Pelodiscus sinensis: one gene and its partner. The main gene of each other region encodes a partner of the protein of the gene in region 2 in a complex. Links are inferred from orthologs where the notes say so. Each region holds a gene or a part of one and is shown on either strand. Other genes may lie near its edges.

Region 1 (11,368 bases), on a different chromosome or scaffold from region 2:
CAATAAAGTGCCACGAACCACGGGCCACCCGCCTGGGCATCTCTCCCTCAGCCACAGGCCTGCTAGTGGCAGATCAGCCGCCCGGGTGCTGGGTGTCCGCAGTGCATACACAGGGTGCTGGGGGCTCAGAGCCAAGCCGTCCCAGCCAGCTCTGCCCGCTCCCATCCCAGCCCAGCCTCGAGTGGCCTGTAAGTCAAGGAGGGCAGAGCCCCCTGGGTGCACAGCTCATTGCAAACCTGCCTCTTTGGTCTTTCTCGAGAGGCCACCCCCCCCCCCCCTTCGTCATGGCGCAGCAGACACCCCCGCCAGGAGCATGGGTGAGGGCAGGAGAGCTGCCACGTTCTGAACTCGCTCTGCTCAGGGTGGCACCATCGCCTCAGGTTGGCAGCTGGCTGCAGGGGACTCCGGCCAGGCCCCCGGGTATGCCCACCCCATTGCAGTCCCGTGAGACAACACGCCAGGCAGACAGCCCTGAGCCTCAGGCAGGGGTTTATTTGTAAATGGCCCGTGGTCATTAAAAGAGTCCCTGTGGGTCCTCCCTGCCCTCGGGCTGCTGCTCCCCCCACCTCTGGCCACTTCAGGAAAAGCTCTTTGCAGCCACCCCGCTCTGGCCCTGGTCAAGCGGGGCCAGGCACTCCCTGGTGCTGGCAGGGTCAGTGTTGGCAGCACACGGGGCTAGAGGCAGCAGGCCGGTGGGGTAGGGGGAGGCGTCCCGGCAGGCCGAGGCTGGCTGCTCTGGGGCCAGGTCCTCCCGCTTGCCCATGGTGAGGATGCCGGCAGCGTGGTTGCCGGAGCCGTGCAGCAGGCGGTAGAGCTGGCTCTGGAAGGCTTGCGAGCTGCTCCTCCTCTTGCCCAGTGTGAGGATGCCGGCAGCATGGTTCCCCAGGCCGTGCAGCACGTCATAGACCCGGCATGGGCAGGTCTTCTGGCGGCAGCACACGGGCATGCTCTGCCCGGCCGCAGCCAGGGAGCAGAGCAGGGCCAGGAGCAGGAGGCAGGAGGCCTTGTGGATCTGTGAGCACAAGAGGCAAGTGTGAGCGCAGGGCCAGGCGGGTGTCAACGGGGATAAACCCAGCGACACCCCAGCTCAGCCCAGGGGCCCATCTAGCTTTGCATCTGGGCTCTGAGAGCCCCGGCAAGACGCCCTGCGGTGCCGACCCCACCAAGGAGAGATTGGCTGGTACCAAAGACCAGCCCGTGGAGGGCCCCAACAAGGTCCCCCAAACCGCTCCCCCCAACCTCACAGGCCTAGCCCCTCCCTCTCCCAGAAAACCCACGCGGGCGCCACCTCACTACCCTGCCCCACTGTGAACTCTCCGCAAACACTGCCCCCAAAATACCCAGCATGCCCCACTCTCCCAGGGCCACCTCCAGGGCTTGGGTTGCGCAACATTCTTGTGGGCCTCCTGCCCCCTAACCACTAGCCCATACTGCCCTCCCGCAGCTGGGACTAGACCCTTATTTTAAGAGGGCTAAGGGATCTTTCGGAAAAGGCTTTATTTTCCGAAAGATCCGCGTCTAGACTGGCGCTTTTCTCCGGCAAAGCTCCGTGCCGAAAAAGAGCGGCAGCCATTTTTATGCTAATGAAGCGGGGGAGATTTAAATCCCCGCTTCATTCGCAATTGCGATACGTCTAATTTGCATCCTTTTTACGAAAAATCGAGACGTAGCCCAGGAGCGCTAGCTGCCACACACCCTGTGCACAGGCCCTAGTGACCTGCTGCAAAGCGCCAAAGGGGCCAGACTCACTCACTGTTCTCTGCCCCTCGCCCCATGGCAACGCTGTAGAAAGCCCCCCCCCCCCCCCCCCCATTTCCATAAGGGAGAAGCAGCCACAGTGGCAATTAGCACTAATTGGCCCCCTGGCTGGCGGAGGGTGCGTCATGGAGACAAAGCTGCCCCCAGGGAGCCTGCTGGGGCAAGGCAGGGACTGGTGCTGGTGAGCAGCTCAGCCTGTTATGTGCGTGGCTGGCAGGGGTCGTGCCCCAGCTGCCGCAGGCCCCTGGCGGGGTCAGGGAGGCGTTACATGTTGTAGCTGCCCAGTCTCCCTTTCACTCTGACTGCGGGCTCGGTTGTGCACTGCCCGGCGCCCAGCGAGGTCAGGGTTGCCAGATGCTTTCACAAAAACCCCCGAACATGGCAGGAAAAAAATTGATGGAGGAAAAAAAAAAGGGGGGGGGGGGAGCCAAAGTTCTTGAGAAAGAGAAAAAAAAAACCCAAACCAACATACCAGATGTCTGGGCGAAAACCGGACACCTGGCAACCCTAAGTGAGGGCTGCGCTTCCCCGTGCGACGCACCACAGCTCTGAGCAGGGAGCAATTGACACCGTAGCCTCACGGCCAAGGTGGCTCAGGCCACAGGTGCCAGGTCGGCGATCAGGAGACACCAGGAAGAGTCAAAGCAGACGCCACTTGCTCCCTGGCCTGCATCCCCCCAGGGCCTGATGTGCTGGGCTCCTCCCCAGAACTGCCCGCGGGCGCGGGGCTGGGACACATTGCGACACACCAGCCTTTGGTGCCGTGGCTGGCAGGGTTTCCCTCGGGAACGCAGCAGGGGAACCTTGCTGGGGAGGAAAGCCACCCTCATGCCACAGCACTCACCCTTTGGGGTCTGCTCCCCCGCATGCCCTGGCCCGTACCTTGGCATTGGGCGCTGCCATCGCTCTGAGAAGTCTTCAAGGGACGGCGCGAAGCTATGGCATGACCCGGTGAGGTGCCTCAACACCCTGAGCCGAGCTCCCGGGCAGCCAGGGCTTATATAGGGCTGGGCCACCCTGAAACTCATTCCCTGCCCCCACACAACAGTGCTGCCAAAAATAGCCCCGGCAGCCGTGGGGCCGGGGCTGCAGGAAGGGCCTGTCTCTGGGCGACACGCGCCCATTGTTCCCCGTTGCTTGGAGACGGGCCAGGCCCGTTCCCTCATTTGTGACTCCCCATTATGCCCCGGCCGCCTGGTGGCCGTGCTGGCTGGAGACAGGCCGCGTACCCTGGCGCTAATGAGCCTGTAATTTCCTAAGGAATCCGCCAGCCTGCGCGGCACAAAGCAGCCGGAAGGTCGGCGGTTGGGAAGGGAGGGGAGACAATAGCAGCCCCCAGGCAGGGAGGGGGGAGACTGGGCCCCATTAGGCTAATTACCGCGTCCCGACAAAGGGTGACCAACAGCCAAGCTGCACCCGTCAGAGGCGCTGGCGTGGCCCTGTGCGCTCGTGGCACGGTGCGCCTCCGGATCCCCAGGCCCTGCCTGCGGGAGAATTCCCCCACTAGAGGGGCTGGAACAGTTTTTATAGTGGGGGCACCGGTGAGGGCAAGAAAGCAGGGAGTTGGGTTATTACTCCTCCAGCCAGGGCCTCCAGGGCTCCCTGCTGAGCCCCGGGGCCCCGTCGGACTCTCTGAGCTGCTGCTGCCCCAGGGTGGATCTGGGCCAGGGATGGGCAGCCGTAGGAACTGCCCCACTGCCGCCCCCAGGCTAGCATCTGTCCCCAGCCATACGCACGGCTCTGCAAGCTGGATCGCCCCCGGGAGCAGCATGGGGGTGGCCCCCGGGACAGGCCGTCGGTCCCACGGCACAGGGCAAACTCCGCAGCCCCCTTTGCAGCAGGGCCACGGCAGGCTGGCGAGGGCTCCCTGCAGCTCCTGCCTCAGCCAGGAGGGGTCAGTAGCGTGACACAAGGTGCCTTCTGCCCCTGGGGCTTACACGGCTCCCCCAACCCTGCCCAGCCATAGGCCACTGCTCAGAGGTGGCAGAAGCACCCCCAGCCCGTGGCCATGCCAGAACGGCCCCGTGGCCACAGCCCAGGGGTGAAACGTGCCGTTCTCATGGCCTGCCAGGCCTGGGGGTGCGTGTGACTTCAGTCTGGCTGGGCCTATCAGCAGCATCCCAGGCAGCCTGGGCCCATGGCAGCCACCCAGTGCTCTCATGGGGACCAAGACCCCCCCCCTCCCGGAAGCCAGGACTCTCCCCAGCACCTCTAAGGGCAGGAACAGCAGCGTGGCACATAGCTGACTACTTCCGCTAGCCCTAAGCTGCCCCCTACATCCCACAGCACTACAGGCAGCACGGGCTGGAGACCTCCAGCTGACATGGGGCTGATGGGGGTGGGGGCTGACTCTCCATACAGCACCCAGGCTACCAGGAGCAGGGGCTGGCATTGTGAGAAATGAGCCCAGATGCACCGAGCCCTGAAGGGGACTGAGCAGGGGGCAGAGCCATGCCCTGTGGGTCAGTGACGCAGAGCCACCCCAGCAACCCAGCCCCCCGGGGGGAGAGGCTGTCAGTGCCGTCACTGTGGGGGCAGCCCTGGCTGAAAACCCCCAGATACAGGCCAAGGCCCCATGGCTGCGTGTGGGGAGCTGACGTGGGCCCGGCCTGGACTGCACACAGGTGGGGTGGGGGGGATAAAGCACACAGCTGACACGGGCCCGAGGTCCGTAGGGAGCCCTGCTCCCGGGGAGGGGGCCGCGTTTCTGGGCCTCCCCCTCCCGGGCCGGGATCCGGGGTGCAGCAGCAGCCCGGCAAAGCTAGGCCAGGAGGCGTTTTCCTCAACTCTAGGGTGTGAGAGCTTCACCAGCCCCATCCGCCCCGCTGCCAGGGGAGCTTTCCCCATGGGCCCAGAGGGAGGACAGGATCTCCATCCCAGAAAGCCAAGGGCACGTGGCTATGGGCCAGTCACCACGGCAACGGGCCAGGGTCGGGGGACAGTAATGTGGCCAAAGCGGCAGGCGTCCTGGCCAGGAATGGCGCAAGAGTAGGGCACGTTACCGCTGCCTCCCCTGCAGGCTGGGAGCCCAGGCCAGCCCAGCGTCACAGCAGCAAAAGTCTGCACACCCCCCACCCCCATCCCGCTCCTTCCCTGGGCCTGGTGTCCCTGGGCCCATGCAGTCACCATGGGAGCAGCACAGTGCCCCCCACCCAGGAACCCTCGCAGGTTAAGGCCACTGCAGTCTGGGATGTGGGGGCGCTGTGGGCTGCCTGCACCCCAGGGCTGCCCCATGCCAGGCCCAGCACGGCTCCTGGCTGCTAAGGGCCAGCTTGCCCATAGGATCCCCCAGACCCACACGTGACCTCCCAGGCCCTGCCGCCCAGGGCACCTGCCCGTCTCCGGAGTGCAGCCAGCCCCCACCCCATCTCAGAGACAGGCACACCAGCGTGAGGGGGGAGGCTCTTTATAACATGCCACTGCTTTCATTCAGCTCTGAACACACAGGGCGCGGGGGGTGGACACCCCGGCCAATGTTGGGCTTCCAGGCTCTGCGACTCCACCCCTCCCCACCCAAGGAACCACAGGGATGGTGCGTGGCTTCCTGAGCCACACACCTCCCTGCTCTGGGCCTCCCCCCACTCTCAGCCCTATATGGGACTTGGGGGGGAGGGCAGCCCATGAACTCTGAGCCTATCCGGGAACATTCTCTAGAGCAGATGGGCCAGAGGGCAGCCCCGGAAAAGGGGGAACCATCCTGTCTGGCCCCTCCCAGCCCTGGGGTAGCTCAGGTTGGAAGCTGCAGGGCTGAGCCCGGCGCAGGCAAATGCCCCAGCCCTGAGCTGGGAACCAGTGTGGCAAGCGGGTGGCGAGAGGGGCCAGGTGTGGTCCGCTCGGTGCCCCTCCCACCCCGTCTGCTCGCTGGGCGCCCGCGGGTGCCCCTAGAGCTGCCAGATACTGCCGTGGCCCTGCCGTGCGGAGGGGGGAGGGGTCCGTCTCTGGGCAAACACCAACCCCCCGCACCACAGGACCAGCCGCTGCACCTGCACGGGGAGGGGGGAAGAGTTTTCACAGCCGACTTAACCCAATGCTCCCCCACAGCCACCTGCCGCAGGCAGAGCTGCTGCTACAGAAAGCGCAGTCAGAGCGGGGAGGGGGGGGCATGGAGGGAGGATCAGGGGTCTGGGGGCTCTGGGTACCAGTTTGATTGTGAAATGCAGGCTGGAGCCAGCCCGGCTCCCTCTCCCACTCCCAGCACCTTGCCCCAGAGCTGCTGCAGGAGCCACAAGTTCCGGAGCCACGTCCCTGCCTGACACTCACCCCCCAGCCCAGCCAGGGGCCAGGCAGAGCGCCAGCCCCGCCCCCACCCGAACCCCCTGTCTAGATGGCCCTGGGATAGGCAGTTCAGTCCCCACCCGCCGGCAGCCAGCGCTGCACGGGGCTCGTGTCTTTCACACGCGTGGTTCAGAGCCTAGGAGTTGCGGGCCCCTCGGGCGGGGCCAACGCCTGTACAATCCTGGGTCCATGGCAGGAGCGCTGGGGGCCACGGGCGACGGAGACGCTGCAGGGTGCCCCCTCCGCCAGGGACGCTGGCTCAGTCCTGGCCCCCATGCCCTGCCCCATGGTCAGCAGGACCCTGTGTCGCTGCCCCCTTCTGTCTCAGAGATGGGCTCCAGCGGGACCCGGCCCCGGCCGAGGTCGGGGGAGGCGGAGCCGTTCCTGCCGATGCCACATGACTGGCCCGCGTTGTGGATCTGCCACAGGTTGTCCAGCGCCTCGGCTTTGGCGTGCTTCAGGAGGTCGGCCTGGCCCTGCAGCGGGGGGAGGCCAAAGGTCAGGGGGGGTGCACATGAGGGGGGCCCCCACACTCCCTCCCCAGGCAGAGTCATTGCTCAGCGGCTGCCCCTAAAGCACAGCCTCTGCTCCATGAGACACACAGTGTCCCCGCCCCTCCGCCCCAGCCAGCTCGGCACAGCCCTGCCCGGCACAGCCCTGCCCGGGGCCTCGGAGCTCAGAGACCAAGGGCAGAAGCGAGCAAGGTGATCACGCCGCCTGGCCTGCCTCACACAGACCCCCGGACCCACCACACCTGCAGGAGACCCCTCGCCGCTGACAGCATCCCCGCTCTTCAGAATCCCGGGAGACACCGGCTCTAGAGACTCCCTGGTGACACCCGCTTAAGAACAGCCCCAGGCTGCAAGTTGCTCCTCAGGCTGGAATACCAGCCACGGCCTCTGGGACGGGGGTCCAGCTCACATGTGGCTGGAATCGCTGAGACTCCCTCTCCCCTCTAGGTCCAAGCTGAGGTGTGTTTACATGGTCCGTGGGGGGACCCTTTGCTAGCACAGCCTGGGGCTGGGGTTCTCCTGCCCAGTCCTGCGCACAGGGCACCCGCCTGGCTGCAGCGGTGCGGGAGCCACGCCCGGCCCCCTTTACGGCTCACGAGCCGCTTTGGTGCCTGTCTCTGGGGCCACCCGGAGTCCAGGCTGGGTACTGCAGCTCTGTGCCTGCCCGGTGCAAGCCGGCAGGGGGTGTTGTGCGGGGAGAAGTAGGGATGTCATAGTGTAGTCGACTAACCAATTCATCGAGAAGCAGAAGCTTATCAGTTAACGCTGTAGACTACACACATTCCTCCTTCCCCCGCTAGTAAATTTGATAGCAGCCTGGCTCCTGGGACCTACCCTGCACTCTGCATTTCAAGTGTATTAGGAGCCAGGTGGGCAGGCAACCCGGCTCAGTTCTGGCTCACGCTGGGTCCAGGAGCTCAGACCCCCACTGTATAGGGGCTGCTGCCACCCTGCGCTGCTGCCTCTGTATCAGAGGCAGCAGCGCAGGGTGGCACCATGGCAGGCAGTCACTCTGCGAGGGGAGCTGGTTTTTAAACTGGCTCCCCTCGTGGACCAGCTCCCGCCTGGCACCCTGCACTGCTGCCCACCCCGAGGATGGCAGGGGGCTCCTCGGGACTGGGGCCACATTGCACTGGCTGCCGGCCTCACCCCCCGGGACGACAGACGAATCGAGTAACCGATAAGAATTCATGAGGTTAATCGACTATTTAATTAACCGATATTTACCACCTCTAGGGAGTAGGGAACGTGGGTCCACGCTGCCGCAGCGGCACCAGCACAGCCTGGCGTGCTGCAGACCCCACCGCGCCCAGCTGGGAGCAGCAAGAACCTGCCAGAACGCATCCCTCTGTGGGCAGGGGGTGTGGGAACAGGGAGGGGAGCTGAGAGCCACTGAACCGAACTGTGACCCCTGGACGTGATGGAAACCACTTGCAGCCGGGGGTGCAGCCGCCCCATGTGCCGCTGGCCCCAACCTCCCCAGGGCAGCACCGTAAAGCCCCCTTAGCCATGGCCCAGCCAGGAAGGGTGCTTGCTCAGGGAGGTGGCCTGAGCCCCACACGGCCCCTAGGTGGCAGCACAGGATCATCGTAGGGCAGGCACGGTGCCTTACCCAACCTGTCTCTGACTGGGCCCATGCAAGCAAGATTGGGGTCTCCCCACATCCCACCCCATGCCCACAACAGTGGGGCCCCGGTCCAGGCTCAGGCAGGGCACAGCCGAGTCCAAGGGCCTAGAGCTGCCCTCATCTGCACGTGCCCCATGGCCCAGCAGGGACCACGTGACCCAAACTATGGCAGCCAGGTGTGGTGGGTAGGGGGAGGCCAGGATACTGGGGCCCCCCCAAGAACAGCTGATGGGAGCTGGGCTGGATGGTCCCTTGGCAGGGTAGTCCAGGAGCTCAGCGTTCCCACACAGGCAGAGCGAGCACAGGGGGGTGCCCAGTACAAGCCCAGATCACAGGGTGCTGGTCCCTCCTCAGAGCCACCAGCTCCCCTGAGCCCCGAGGCACGTCCCGGCATCACGGCCCAGCACGCCAAGTGGCGGAGGAAACACCACTGTGCTGAGTAGGGATGGTAAATATCGGTTAATTGAAGAGTCGATTAACCTCATGAGTTCTTATCCGTTACTCGACTATTCGATAGTCCCCAGGGGTGGGCCCAGCAGCCAGTGCGCTCCAGCCCCACTCCTGAGGAGCCCCCTGCCACTCCGCGCTGCTGCCTCTGTATCAGAGGCAGCAGTGCAGGGAGCCAGGTGGGAGCTGGTCTGCAAGGGGATCCAGTTTAAAAACCAGCTCCCCCTCGTGGACCGGCTGCCTGTCACCTTGTGCTGCTGCCTCTGATACAGAGGCAGCAGCCCCTTTCCAGGGGAGGTCTGAGCTCCCAGACCCGGTGCGAGCCGGAACTGAGCCGGGCTGCCTGCCTGGCTGGCTCCTAATATATTAGAAATGCAGAGTTGCAGCGGGGGTAGGTCCTGGACCCGGCACAAGCCAGGACTGAGCTGGGCTGCTGGCCAGCCTGCTAAAAAATGTACTGGAGAGGGGTGGACAGGGAGGGGGAAGGGGGGATGCGTGTAGTCTCTAGCATTAACCTATAAGCTTTTGCTTCTACACTACTACATCCCTAGTGCTTGGCTCTCACTGCCTGCAGGAGCAGGGCCTGGGGCTTCTCCAGGTCAGGTCAGCCTCAGCCCTCGCCCTGTCCCAGGAATAGGTGGGGAAATGGACCCAGGGAAGGGACAGACTCAAGGGAGTCTGGTGGCAGAGCTGGGACCAGGGATGCTAACATGAAGGGGAAAGGAGTCCAGGACAGCTGGCAGTATTTTAAAGAAGCCTTATTGAAGGCACAGGAAGAAACCATCCCGATGCGAAGCAAGAAAAGCAAATGAGGTAGGTGCCCAGATTGGCTTACCGGGGACATCCTGGGTGAGCAGGATGGAAGCTGACAAGAAGTGGAAACTTGGACAGATGACTAGGGAGGAGTATCAATATATAGCTCGAGAATGCAGGGGAGTTATCAGGAAGGCAAAAGCGCAATTGGAATTGCAGCTAGCAAGGGATGTGAAGGGGAACAAGAAAGGTTTCTACAGGCATGTTAGCAATAAGAGGGTGATCAGAGAGGGTGTGAGGTCCCTACTGGATGAGGGAGGTAACCTAGGGGTGTGTCTAGACTACATGCCTCCGTCGACGGAGGCATGTAGATTAGCCAGATCGGCAGAGGGAAATGAAGCCGCGATTAAAATAATCGCGGCTTCATTTAAATTTAAATGGCTGCCCCGCTCTGCCGATCAGCTGTTTGTCGGCAGATCGGGGCAGTCTGGACGCGACGCGCCGACAAAGAAGCCTTTCTTTATCGGCACAGGTAAACCTGGTTTCACGAGGCATACCTGTGCCGATCAAGAAAGGCTTCTTTGTCGGCGCAGCGCGTCCAGACTGCCCCGATCTGCCGACAAACAGCTGATCGGCAGAGCAGGGCAGCCATTTAAATTTAAATGAAGCCGCGATTATTTTAATTGCGGCTTCATTTCCCTCTGCCGATCTGGCTAATCTACATGCCTCCGTCGACGGAGGCATGTAGTCTAGACACACCCCTAGTGACAGATGATGTGGGAAAAGCTGAAGTACTCAATGCTTTCTTTGCCCCGATCTTCACAGACAGGGTGAGCTCTCAGACAAATGCACTAGGCAACGCAGTAGGGGAAGGAGGTGGACAGCCCTTAGCGGGGAAAGAAGAAGTGAGGAACTATTCAGAAAAGCTAGACAAATCCATGGGTCCAGATTTAATGCATCCGAGGGTACTGAGGGAGCTGGCAAGTGTCATTGCGGAGCCTTTGGCCATTATCTTTGAAAACTCGTGGAGATCGGGAGAAATCCCACATGACTGGAAAAAGGCAAATGTAGCGCCCATCTTTAAAAAAAGGAAGGAGGACAATCCAGGGAACTACAGACCAATCAGCCTTACTTCAGTCCCTGGAAAAATCATGGAGGGGATCCTCAAGGAATCCATTTTGAGGCACTTGGAAGAGGGGAAAGTGATCAGCATCGGTGAGCCCTGGTGATCAGGACTAGTCAGCATGGATTCACAAAGGGCAAGTCGTGCCTGACCAATCTGATTAGCTTCTATGATGAGGTAACTGGCTCAGTGGACATGGAAAAGTCAGTGGATGTGATATACCTTGACTTTGGCAAGGCTTTTGATACGGTCTCCCACAATATTCTTGCCAGCAAGTTAAGGGAGTATGGATTGGTAAATGGACTGTAAGATGGATAGAAAGCTGGCTAGACTGTTGGGCCCAATGGGTAGTGATCAACGGCTCAATGTCAGGTTGGCAGTTTGTTTCTAGCAGAGTGCCTCAAGGTTCGGTTCTAGAGCCAGCTTTGTTCAACATCTTTATTAATAACCTGGCTGAGGGGATGGATTGCACCCTCAGCAAGTTTGCAGATGACACTAAGCTAGGGGGAGAGGTAGATACCCTGGAGGGCAGGGATAGAGTCCAGAGTGACCTAGACAGATTAGAGGATTGGGCCAAAAGAAATCTGATGAGGACAAGTGTAGAGTCCTGCCCTTGGGATGGAAGAATCCCAAGCATTGTTACAGGCTGGGGACCAATTGTCTAAGTAGCAGTTCTGCAGAAAAGGACCTGGGGGTTCCAGTGGATGAGAAGCTGGATATGAGTCAACAGTGTGCCCTTGTAGCCAAGAAGGCTAATGGCATATTAGGGTGCATTAGGAGGAGCATTGCCAGCAGATCTAGAGAAGTGATAGAGAAGTGATTATTCCCCTTTATTCGGCTCTGGTGAGGCCACACCTGGAGTATTGTGTCCAG
Region 2 (10,966 bases):
TTTAAATGCCGGGCTTCATTTGCAACTTTGATTGACTACATTAACCACCCTAGTTCGAACTAGGGTGGTAGTGTAGACATACCCTAAATGTTTACATGCTTTAACCCAGGGGTAAGAACCTAAGGCCTGGGGGGCGGATGTGGCCCCTGGTTTGCCTGGATCTGGCCCCTGAGGCTTAGAGCTCCCTTCCCAGCATTGGGAGCCTGCACTGGTGCTTCAGCCCCCCCGGCCAGTCCACCGCAGGGCTGGAGCACACAAAGTCTACTAGCCTGGGCCCCCGTAGGCTCCTGTGTGCAAGGAAATGGGGGGAATGTCTTTCTACTTCTCAGTCAGGGGCCATGTTAGTGAGGATTTGTTTGTTTGTTTGTTTTTGTTTCTCACTTGTGTGAGGCCCCTGACCCAAAAAAGGTTCCCCACCCCTGCTTTAGCCTTTTAAATAACTTTCTTGTTTCCCTTTCCCATTTAATAGATCTTTATATAATATCCTACAAGTGCTGTCTTTGGAGAGAGGTTTAAGGTGCAATTGTCCTGGAGTAATAGACTGAACTAGGAATAAACCAAATACTGCTGTGTCCTTGGTGTAAGGGACAGATCAGGGAGCCAGCTGAGAACTCTGACCCTGCAGGGGTGAAGACACCATAAGGGAGCTCCTTTTTTTTAAGCCAGTCATCATTCACAGCCCTGCAGCACTCATCCTCAGCATCTCATCTGCCTGGAAGGGTGCTGGGGATTGTGTGCAGTGGTGAATGCATGGGGGTGAAGAGCATCTAAATTTAATCTTAATCTTTTCCTTCCCTATATCCTTTGTGTCCTGGCTCCAGATAAGTCCCCTGTGTAATATTTTTCATTTCTTGTGGCTAGTCCTAATTTATTGTGTTATTCTTCTACTGTGTTATATTCCTGGCGAATAGGAATAGTATTGGTCATTTTCCCAAGGGAAGGCCCCCTTGTATTCCAAGCACAGAGAGGAGTCAGTTTTCACCAAGTGTGGAAATAAGGAACCCAGGACTCAATCCATGAGAAGAGAGGAGAGAAGCCATGGGTTTCTGATTAGCAAACATCAGGGGAGGAGGTTTGAGGCATGCCTTGGGAGAGAAGCTACATTTAAATTACAAAACAAGGTGAATTAATGCTGCAACAAATGTAAGACTGAAACAAATGCCAGGCTGCCTACATTGTCTTTAGTTCCATTTTAAGGTGTATAGATGATCACATTCTTTATTCTAAAAATCATGGGTTTGGCTGTGTAATTTCTAATGTAGTGCTCTAGATATCTAGGATGTTGCAGCTATGGCCTGCTCTTCATTTAATATTAATGGCTGTGGGGATTTAAAATTGATAAAAGCTTTTACCATTCATTTATCTTCCTCTCTCTCTGTTTTCTCCCTCTTCCACACTATATTTGAGTTGAGGAGAGCCCTGCTGCTTGTCAGGCATTGCTCAGTGTTGCTGCCAAAGCAGTGGGATTTGTTTGATGCATCTCTTGAAGGCAAGTGCTGTGAGTGGTCCTTCTTTGCAGCTTGACCATGATGTTATGGCAATTGGTAAACAGCCAAGATGCTGAGAGGTAGATAGATCAAGAGGAAAAAAAGGGGGCAGTAGAAGATGGTGAAATTAGAGCAATGGAAGGAAGGTGAGGCGGGGAAGGGCAGATTTCCATGGCCACCTTCTCTGGGGTCCCAATTCAGCAGTCCATTGTTATTCAGCAGCATGAGCTGAAGTACTTTGCTGACTAGGAACAGGCCTAGTCACGAGTTTAGATGCTTTGCTGAATTGGTATCCATGAGCTCATATGACCTTTAAGCAGCAGTCTGTGGACTTCTGACAACATAAATCTTGCTTTCTGTTGTGAAAAATCAAATCTGGTCTCTCATTTCAGATGCTCCTAAGTTCATGCAGAACTCAGTCTTTTTGGTTCTTTGTCACAAAGGTTTAAAAATGAAGAAACTGATCTGTAAAGTAGAAAGAGGTGCTGCTTATTTGTGTTATTAAATATATGTCGGTTATAAAATTCATACTAGCAGAAGGAAAATGTACTTGAAGCAAAAATAAAATCTGAACCCTGAAGTGGGGGGGCTAGATTGGTCTTATCTCCAACTGAATGATGGCAATACCTTTGAGATAGCATAAGCTACAAAATATAAATTGAGTTGGATTAATATTTATATTGTATAATATAATTTTTGTATGTAACATCATAAATTGAAAGCTACAAGATATTTTACTAGGAATGACTGATTTATTTCGGTATTTGTGGAAATTTAAATGAGTGATTATGGGTTAAGTTTGCATATATCAGTCTCTCTTCTTTCACCTAAATGAAATGCCAGACATTAGCCTCACTGGGGGAAAAGGTTGACAGATATAAATTGGAATTTAAGTTTCTTAATTCAGATTTGGTATATTCTCTATAGGCTTGTAAATTTGAAAACATCATTTGTTACATAGTTTGGTTCTGATAAATAAGAAATTGAGTTTAATGCATCAGAGACATTTATAGTTCACATGAATGTACAAGAAGACTAAGGTTTAAATCATAATAGTATTGCTAGAGATGGTGTAATAAAAATAGATAAACAGTCAAATGTAGCCAGTTAAGCTATTATGCTGATATGATTTGGGAACATCTAAAATGTAATAACTAGAGATGGTTTCCCCCTTTAGATGATTATAATGAAAATTAACAAACAAAAATAAAATGTCAATGGGCCAATAGATATTAAATATATTTCCTGAGGAATCTCTGGGGATTGTGTAACTCTACAATTCCAGGTAAGCAAAAAATCTAGCCTTTGAGGCTATACCTTCAGGAGGGGCTACAGTGTGATAGGCCCATTGGCTGATTAATGCAATGTAGAAGTTGTGCCTGGATTCAAACTTTGAGATTGGGGTGATGTGTATGACCAGCATGCTGTGACAACTGATGTAACAGATTAGAAGTTGCACTGGTGAATGAAAAGCAAGTTTAATGAGGTAAGGGTACCAAATCTATCTCAGTGAAGTCAGTGCAATTAGAAAGGCATCCCCAGAGCTAGACTGAACAGGTTTCATAACCCCTACATGTTGAAAAGTGGTAACTTCATATCTCAGCAAATGTTTGTGAGATGGGTCCATGAAAAGGGTGTGGAAGGGAGAAATGAAGGCAAAAAGGAGGAATACATTTATATTATTACTTCCAAAGCCCATTTTCTGGATGTTATTCTCTCCCACACAAGCTGGAAAAGGGAAAGACAGTATCCAAGGTGGCAAAGATGGAGAAGATAGTACAGAAGATGGATTGGCATTTAGATAACGTGGGTGACTGAGATAAAGTAGCTGTGGTGTTTGATTGGCTTGTTTATTGAATATCTTGGTCTCTTGGCTGGTGATTCAGGGTTGCCAGTGGAAATTCAAGACATGTATTGGAAAGAACCATGGAATGTGTGAGACTTGCTACATTCTCTTTTAGTTGCAGGTATATAAATTGTGAGGGATCAAAGTGTAACCCACAAGTCTTTCAAGATGTGAAGAAACTCACCAGTCGATTAAAAGAACAACTGTGGCCATCCATAGGGAGGTCCTCAGCAATGTTGTGCAATTCCCTAGAGAAACTGGATATCTGCTTCCACAATGGAAATCACATCATGATTATGGTGGAAATGGACTTGGCTCCGATATCAGCTATATGCAAGGAAGACTGCAATAATCTTCTCTCTAAGAGTTGCCCTTTGTTTATGATGTTCTTAAATTGTTTTGTGCTGTTTGTCTCATTCATTTACTATTTCCACAACCAGGGAATTCAGTGACACTTCCAAGTACTTTGCTAAAATGCAATATTTTAGTTGGCACATTTACTGGTGGTGGATTGTACAGTTGGAGTCTGCCAGATGGTCTTAGCAGGCTCTAATAAAGCCAGATTCACAAGGAGGGCTGCAGGCAGAAGCTTGAAGCATGCAATATGTCCAGAAGTTTATTATGAAAGCCTTTGACCTTCACTATTGGGGTTTGAAACACATAGCCACTATGTACTTCATCAGCTCCTGAAATAGTTTAGTTATTTTCCATGGAAAGTGGTTGAGGGATTAGAACCCCATACAGCAATGAGGAGATATTCATGTGGTTGCCTCTTGCCTCCTGTTCTTCCAAAAATGTCCTCTGCTGACTCTAGTTTGTGGGGTGTGAGTAAGGGCTCGGGGAATAGGTCTGCCTATTTGACCTGCAAGAGTGACACAGAGACCTTAGGAATTGTTGGCATTACAGGCCCAGGATTCCCAATAAGACCACTGGGGAGAGCCATGCACCATTGATAACACGAGGGAGACAGAGGATGACATCATCTGTGCTTTGATGTCTCTCAATTGGTGGAAGAATGGTGTCTTGCAGAAAATACCATTGAACTGACATCCACAAATCAGAAAACTCAGCAACTTTTTTTGGGGGAGGGTATGATAACTGATTTCAGTAGCTACCCCCATTCTAGCTCTCTTCCACTGCTGATACTCTTCTCCCCAAAAGTGAAGTTAAATTTAGTGATGTGTCAAGCTGGAACAGGACAGGGGAAATGTGGGTGGGAGTACAGAGAGAAGGCTGCATGGAGAAACTTGGGAGGAAAACAAACTGGAGTTACAGAAAGAGGCATGAGAAGAGGAGGCAGAGGGGAAGGGCAACAGCACAGAGAAGGGGCTGACGAGCTAGGGAGGGTAGTTTTGGAATATCAAGGACAGGTGTAAGTGTACATCTAAGGATTCCTAAATGTGAGCCCCACATTGCACAGCACACGTGTATACACAGGCAGTGAGCATACACACTTGCTTACAGGTTGGATTACATATACAGGCAGTCCCCGAGTTACGTGGATCCGACTTACGTAGGTCCCACTGCCTGCGTCCTCCGGGGCAAGAAAAGCTGCGGAGCACGCGGGCAGCAGGACAGCCCAGACGCGCCGCGGCTGTCCCGCTGCCGGTGTCCTCCGAGGCTTTGCTCCCCGTCTCCCTGGTCTGCTGGGGGGGCTCCCCTCCAGCAAACCAGGGAGACGTGGAGCAGCTTTTCTCGCCCTGGAGGACATGGGTGGCGGAGGATGTGGGCAAAGCCTCAGAGGACGCCTGCAGCGGGACAGCCGCGGCGCGTCTGGGCTGTCCTGCTGCCCGCGTGCTCCGCAGCTTTGCTCCGCGTCTCCCTGGTCTGCTGGGGGGGGGGCGCAGCTAGTGCACCTCCCCCCCAGCAGACCAGGCTTTTCTCGCGGAGACACCTGGGGTAGAACAGCTGGGGCGCTGCCAGGTTGGTCCCACAGCGCCGCTCCTCGGCGCTACTGGACCAACCCGGCAGCACCCCAGCTGCTCTGCCCCAGGTGTCCCCAAGTCAGCCGCTGCTGAAACTGACCAGCGGCTGACTACAGGAAGCCTGAGGCAGAGTTGCTCTGCCCCGGGCTTCCTGGAATCAGCCTCTGATCAGTTTCAGCAGCAGCTGACTTGGGGACACCTGGGGTAGAGCAGCTGGGGTGCTGCTGGGTTGGTCCCTGCAGCGCTGAGGTGCGGCGCTGCGGGGACCTACCCGGCAGCGCCCCAACTGCTCTGTCTCAGGCGTCCAAATTCATCCTCTGTTGAAACTGATCAGTGGCTGATTCCAGGAAGCCCAGGGCAGAGCAACTCTGCCTCGGGCTTCCTGTACTCAGCCGCTGGTCAGTTTCAGCAGCAGCTGAATCTGGATGCCAGTTCCGACTTACATACAAATTCAACTTAAGAACAAACCTACAGTCCCTATCTTGTACGTAACCCGGGGACTGCCTGTACTCTCACATTTGGAAGCAAAGTGCCCACTCCTCCTTCTCCCTCTAAGGATTTGCTGTGTATTGCAGAGTCTGTGCCAGAATTATGCATTTGTAAGCATGTGCTGTGCCGGCTCCTCTGTCACAGCAGACTCTGATGCCGAGTCCTCATTCCCTCTCCCAGAGCTGCTGTGTGTGCAGCTTTGCTGAGAAGTGCTGCCAAGGTAGTGGGAGAAGTTGTCAAAGGTTCCCTCATCATTGGCTCTGTAACTTTTCATTTCCTTTTCTCCATTTCTCCTCACACTGGGCTTGCCATTCCACAGCACAAGTGTAAATGGATGGACTTCAGAGAAGCTAGAAGTACTGACCAGGTTTGATCCCAGACCCAGGCTAAAACCAGTGATGTCCGAGACAAAACTGGATAATGAGTCCCCTTCTTGTGGGAACTGGTCATCTGCTCCAGAATGGAATGATACTCGGGAGCCTTTGTCAATCCCCTCTGCTGACTATGATGATGAGGAATTTCTGCGATACCTTTGGAGAGAATATTTGCATCCAAAAGAATATGAATGGGTCCTGATTGCAGGATATATTGTTGTTTTCATTGTGGCTCTCATTGGAAACATCCTAGGTGAGTAGCACTCTGCATTTCTCCTCTGAAGAGTTGTAATATAACCTGTTTGCACGGATTTTCAGGCAGCCTATACTATGAATAAAAGGTAGGTGAGTTAACAGTGGCATCTGGGAACATTGTTTCTTGTATCCGAGAGTGAAAGTTAGATTTAGACAAACAGGGGACATGAATGTGTTTGTATCTGGCAGTTTATTTTGAAATTAAAATGGCTAACTCTTCATGTCATTTGTCATGCTTGGTATTTAAGAGGCTGGGAGCATCATGTTTTGAGAGTGTTAAAAGCAGCTCTTATCACTGTTTTCATTTAGAGAGCTACATTAAGACAGTCGGCTTTCTAGCTGTTTACTAACTAACAATTAGTCATGGTTGTAATTAGAATCCCCAAGAAACAAGCTCATCCAAACTAGGAAGGTTGTGTCAATGAAATGTTTGTTCTCTAATCTCTGTCCAGCTGGCAGTAGTGCTGAAATTCTCCAGCCCCATTCAGATCTTTGCAGACATATGTTTTCCTTCATGTGGTGCTGACAGCTGCTCTTGACAGCACTTCTGTGTCTGGTCATAATGCTGCTTTTCATTCAGAAATTCTCAAACAAGTTAGCAGAGTTTAACTTAGACATTTCAATGCAATGGCTATTTATACTCACCTGACAGGAGCACTCCAGGCACTGACAAATGTGGAAAGCAGATTAAATCAAGAACTTGTTCTTATATCAGTTGTTTGAATAGATTTCTATGCTAGGGTGAATGCTAGGGTTCAAGGATATAACTATGTAGAATGAAGCACTCCCAGCTTTCAGCCAGGGGGAGAAAGCAGACAAAAATCTCAATCTCTCTCTCTCTCTCTCTCTCTCTCTCTTTTCCTACTCTCACCCAAATTTCATTCATCTGTGAAGGAGGAGGAGGAAGGGAGGTAGTGCAGCAGGAAACTAAGAACACTGGCTGCTGCTTCATGCAGGGTTGCTCAGAATAATCTATTGGGAAAAAGTGCGGGGGACTTTGTTTGGGGGGACATGGAGGAGGGAACCTGGGGAATTTGAGGGAGGTGAACTGGTGAGTAAGGAAGGCAGAGAAAAGAGGAGGAAGGAATAGGAAGATGGAGGGATTTGAAAGTGAAGCAGAGCAAAGGGGAAGGTTGGAGGTTCTTTACCAGGTAGACTAAGAGAAAGAATGTCCAAGTGAGTGATGGAGGCAAGGAAGACATGAGGCAGGGAATGGAGAAAAGCAATATCATGAGTGAAAGTTAAAGTGAAACCTTAGGGCAGAAAGTCATGGGAATGTTAAGAGTCAAGATAGGGGAAAATGGGGATGGAGGAGTAACTGAGAATTTCGAAGTGAAACAACTGGGATATATTTGAGGTAGAGGGAGGGAGGAATGGTGCAGGGCCAGAGTGTGGAGGGAGCAGAAGAAAGAACAGGCAGGAATCTGGAGTATGGCAACAGTGAGAATTGTTGAAAAGCAAAGGCAGAAAGAGGATGAGGGGGGAAGGAAGGATGGGGGAAGAGGAGCTTGTGTATAAGAAACAGATTTAAATACAGAGAAGAGTGACTGGGGGAGATGGAAGATGGCTTTGGAATAAGGAGAAGAAGCTAGGGTGTTTGGGGAAGCTGGGAGTGACTGAAGAGAGAAAATGTGAAGGGATTTATCAGAAGCCAGTATCCTTAGAAGCTAAAAGTAGCTCTCGGGTAAAATAATGGAATAATTTAGGGAAATAACATATATAACTCTTTGGAATCTAACGTAAGCAGAGATTTTAAAAAAAACACTCCAGCAGTTATGTCCAAGGCTTCATTTCTAGGACAAATAAATCATGCCACACAACTAGTGGAGAATTAAGGCTACATGTAGGGACTGTGCTTAAAGTTCTTGAAACTACAGGGTACTGGACTCACGGGGGGATTAAAATGCCCAGATATCTTTTGGGTTCACTCACAACCAAACTTGCATCATCAGTGAGATGCTGAGTTACACAGGAAAGAGTTTTATAACCCAAGAAGTAAAAAATGCAGCCACAAGAGAAGTCATCTTGGACTAACTTGCTACCAGTTAGGAGGAAGTGATTAAAAATATGAGGCAAATAAAGAAACGATATGGTGTGTTTGTGAGCTACTTGAATTCAACAGTGTAATGAAGGGGTTAATAAAAGTATTAAAATATCCATTGATCAGAGTCAAATGGGAGGAATTATTCAAGTCATAATGGTAGAAAAAGACTGAACAATCTGAACATACCTCAATGAAGGCAGAACTTCTCGGGAAGTTAGTGGGGGAAGAAGAGACAAGAGGACTGGCAGGAACAAGACATGGCTACTATAATGAGAATGGAAAAGGGAGGAAGTCAACCAAACAAGACTGTATGGGCTGGCTGAAAAAATTGTGCCAGTTATGTGAAATAAGAATCTGAAAGGTGTTGGTCCTGTAACACACGTATTAGATGTAGTGTGACAAGGGAGAAAATTTCCGTATTGACTCTCATTTTAATTTTTCCCATGGTTTCCATTTTTTAGTTGTATAATTTCTCACTGGCAGTTCAGATACCCTAGCAAATTAAAATAACTACCATTCTAATGGATAATTGACATTTACATTCTGCAGTAACCACTTTTTAAAATAAACCCTTTTATGGATTCAGTACATTTCCCAATAGCCACATCCCCCCACATGTGGTACCCATTAATGGTCCCTAGACCACAGGTGGAGAAACTTCAACATTTTTATTTAAAAGAAACCACTAAGATGTTCCTGCATTAAGAATTAAAATAAAGTCCTATTTTCACCCTGTATTGTAGCTACCAGTGGTTAGCAGATTTCCATCATTTAAATGTTTTTCCCTCACTTTAGCATGAGTGTCTCTTGGACCATTTCTAAGGGTATGTCAACACTACCCCGCTAGTTCGAACTAGCGGGGTAATGTAGGCATACCGCACTTGCAAATGAAGCCCGGGATTTGAATTTCCCGGGCTTCATTTGCATAAGTGGGGAGCCGCCATTTGCATAAGTGGGGAGCCACCATTTTTAAAACCCCGCTGGTTCGAACCCCATGCAGCGCGAAGTGTACCAGTAGTTCAGAATAGGAAGCCTAATCCGAACTACCTAGTTCGAGCCCCGTGTAGCCGCGCTGCACGGGGTTCGAACGAGCGGGGTTTTAAAAATGGCGGCTCCCCGCTTATGCAATTGAAGCCCGGGAAATTCAAATCCCGGGCTTCATTTGCAAGTGTGGTATGCCTACATTACCCCGCTAGTTCGAACTAGGAGGGTAGTGTAGACATACCCATAAGGACATAAGATGTCATTGACACAAATCTTGTTTTTTAGTGGGAATTGGAGAACTGCAGCAACAACTGAAGAGATGCTGGATCTTTTGAGAGGACACTTTACAGGGGTGCTTGAAAATCCAGATTAATAAGCAGGAAGTGTTAGAATGTTTGAACAGTAAAATGCAGACATAAAAGTGGCTGGCTCTGCAAGCCTAAGATCATCTGAAGAAGGAATGGCTAGTGAAGTCTGAGATTTGGTGAATCTCATGCTAACTGAATTTTCCATTTTAAGTAAAACTATTTTGCAAAATCTTTTTCTGTAATTTAACACAATTATTTTAGTACTACAATTATAACATTTTTCTCTCTAAAGAGGAACTTGTGCAACTTGTGCTATGTATTAGAGATTGTAGAAAAAAAGTTAGGCTGTCCCAAGTGACTTGTAGCTACATATATTTGATGAAGTCCTTAGCTGGTGTATGATAGTATAGTACCCTTGTCTTCAATGAATCTACCACCACTTTACACAATTTGAAGATCTGACAGTAGTGCATTGTTATTAAATTTGGTTTCTTTTTTCATTTTTGTTTTTTATTCAGCAATCCTCATAACCAGAATAGAAACTCAATACAAATTCAGTTGAACCTTGGTCATGGTGCTAATCGTAGAGATAGGAGTAGCAGAAAATGAGAAACTTGGGAGACTCCTAAGATCTGAGTCCTCTCTCATTTGAATTACTTTCATGTTCATTTAAAACTCTTGGCTTCAGTGGACCTATCTTAGTGCAAGTGAAATCAATATCTGGTCTATAATCATTGGATGATTTGAAGCATAGAGCTATAGCTAAATCCACAGTTTGAATTAAAACCTTTGAGATGTGGTGCTATGAATCTCCTAGTTGGGAAAAAAAAGACAAGTGCTTATGTTAAATATTCTTGGAGAGAAGCTGATCTTGATATTGGAAATCAACAGAACTACACTTTTGGGCGACGTCTGCACTGCAAGCTTTTTGCGCAAAGAGCTGTTTTGCTCAAGAGTTCTTGCGCAAAAGGTCTTGCGCAAGAGCGTGTCCACACTGCCATGTGCTCTTGCACAAGGGATGTGCTTTTGTGCAAGAGCATCCATGACAGTGTGGACACTCTCGTGTGCAAGAAAGCTCTGATGGCCATTTTAGTCATAGAGGTTTCTTGTGCAAGAAACCCCTATTGCTCATCCACATTGCCTTGTTGCGCAACAGCTCTTGCTCAAGAGGGCTTATTCCTCATGGGGAACAGAATAACTCTTCTGCAAGAGACCCTCTTTTCTGATGCTCTACTGTAAATTTACTTGCGCAAG

Evidence for each region.
Region 1: the proteins of HCRTR2 (region 2) and HCRT are in contact, whole or in part, in a cryo-EM structure (PDB 7L1U), measured with the Homo sapiens proteins. The link is inferred for Pelodiscus sinensis from reciprocal best matches to the Homo sapiens genes HCRTR2 and HCRT. Residues at the interface, in NP_001371201.1 of Homo sapiens: Thr111, Val114, Trp120, Pro131, Gln134, Thr135, Val138, Gln187, Val209, Cys210, Asp211, Phe227, Thr231, Ile320, Ser321, Asn324, Lys327, Arg328, Phe333, Ala334, Thr336, Arg339, Val342, Tyr343, Phe346, His350, Tyr354; in NP_001515.1 of Homo sapiens: Asn89, His90, Ala91, Ala92, Gly93, Ile94, Leu95, Thr96, Met97.

Annotation. Positions count from the first base shown.
Region 1 is NC_134739.1:9,249,670-9,261,037, reverse strand, and holds HCRT (hypocretin neuropeptide precursor), read right to left. Parts: upstream 5,017-11,368; 5' UTR 2,662-5,016; coding exon of another isoform or gene 2,641-2,661; 5' UTR 2,627-2,640; coding exon 2,603-2,626; intron 1,013-2,602; coding exon 578-1,012; 3' UTR 473-577; downstream 1-472. Other genes in the region: inactive phospholipase C-like protein 2, read right to left, coding at 6,324-6,509. UniProt on the Homo sapiens protein: Neuropeptides that play a significant role in the regulation of food intake and sleep-wakefulness, possibly by coordinating the complex behavioral and physiologic responses of these complementary homeostatic functions.
Region 2 is NC_134713.1:42,992,919-43,003,884, forward strand, and holds the start of HCRTR2 (orexin receptor type 2), read left to right. Parts: upstream 1-5,823; 5' UTR 5,824-6,145; coding exon 6,146-6,374; intron 6,375-10,966. UniProt on the Homo sapiens protein: Nonselective, high-affinity receptor for both orexin-A and orexin-B neuropeptides. Triggers an increase in cytoplasmic Ca(2+) levels in response to orexin-A binding.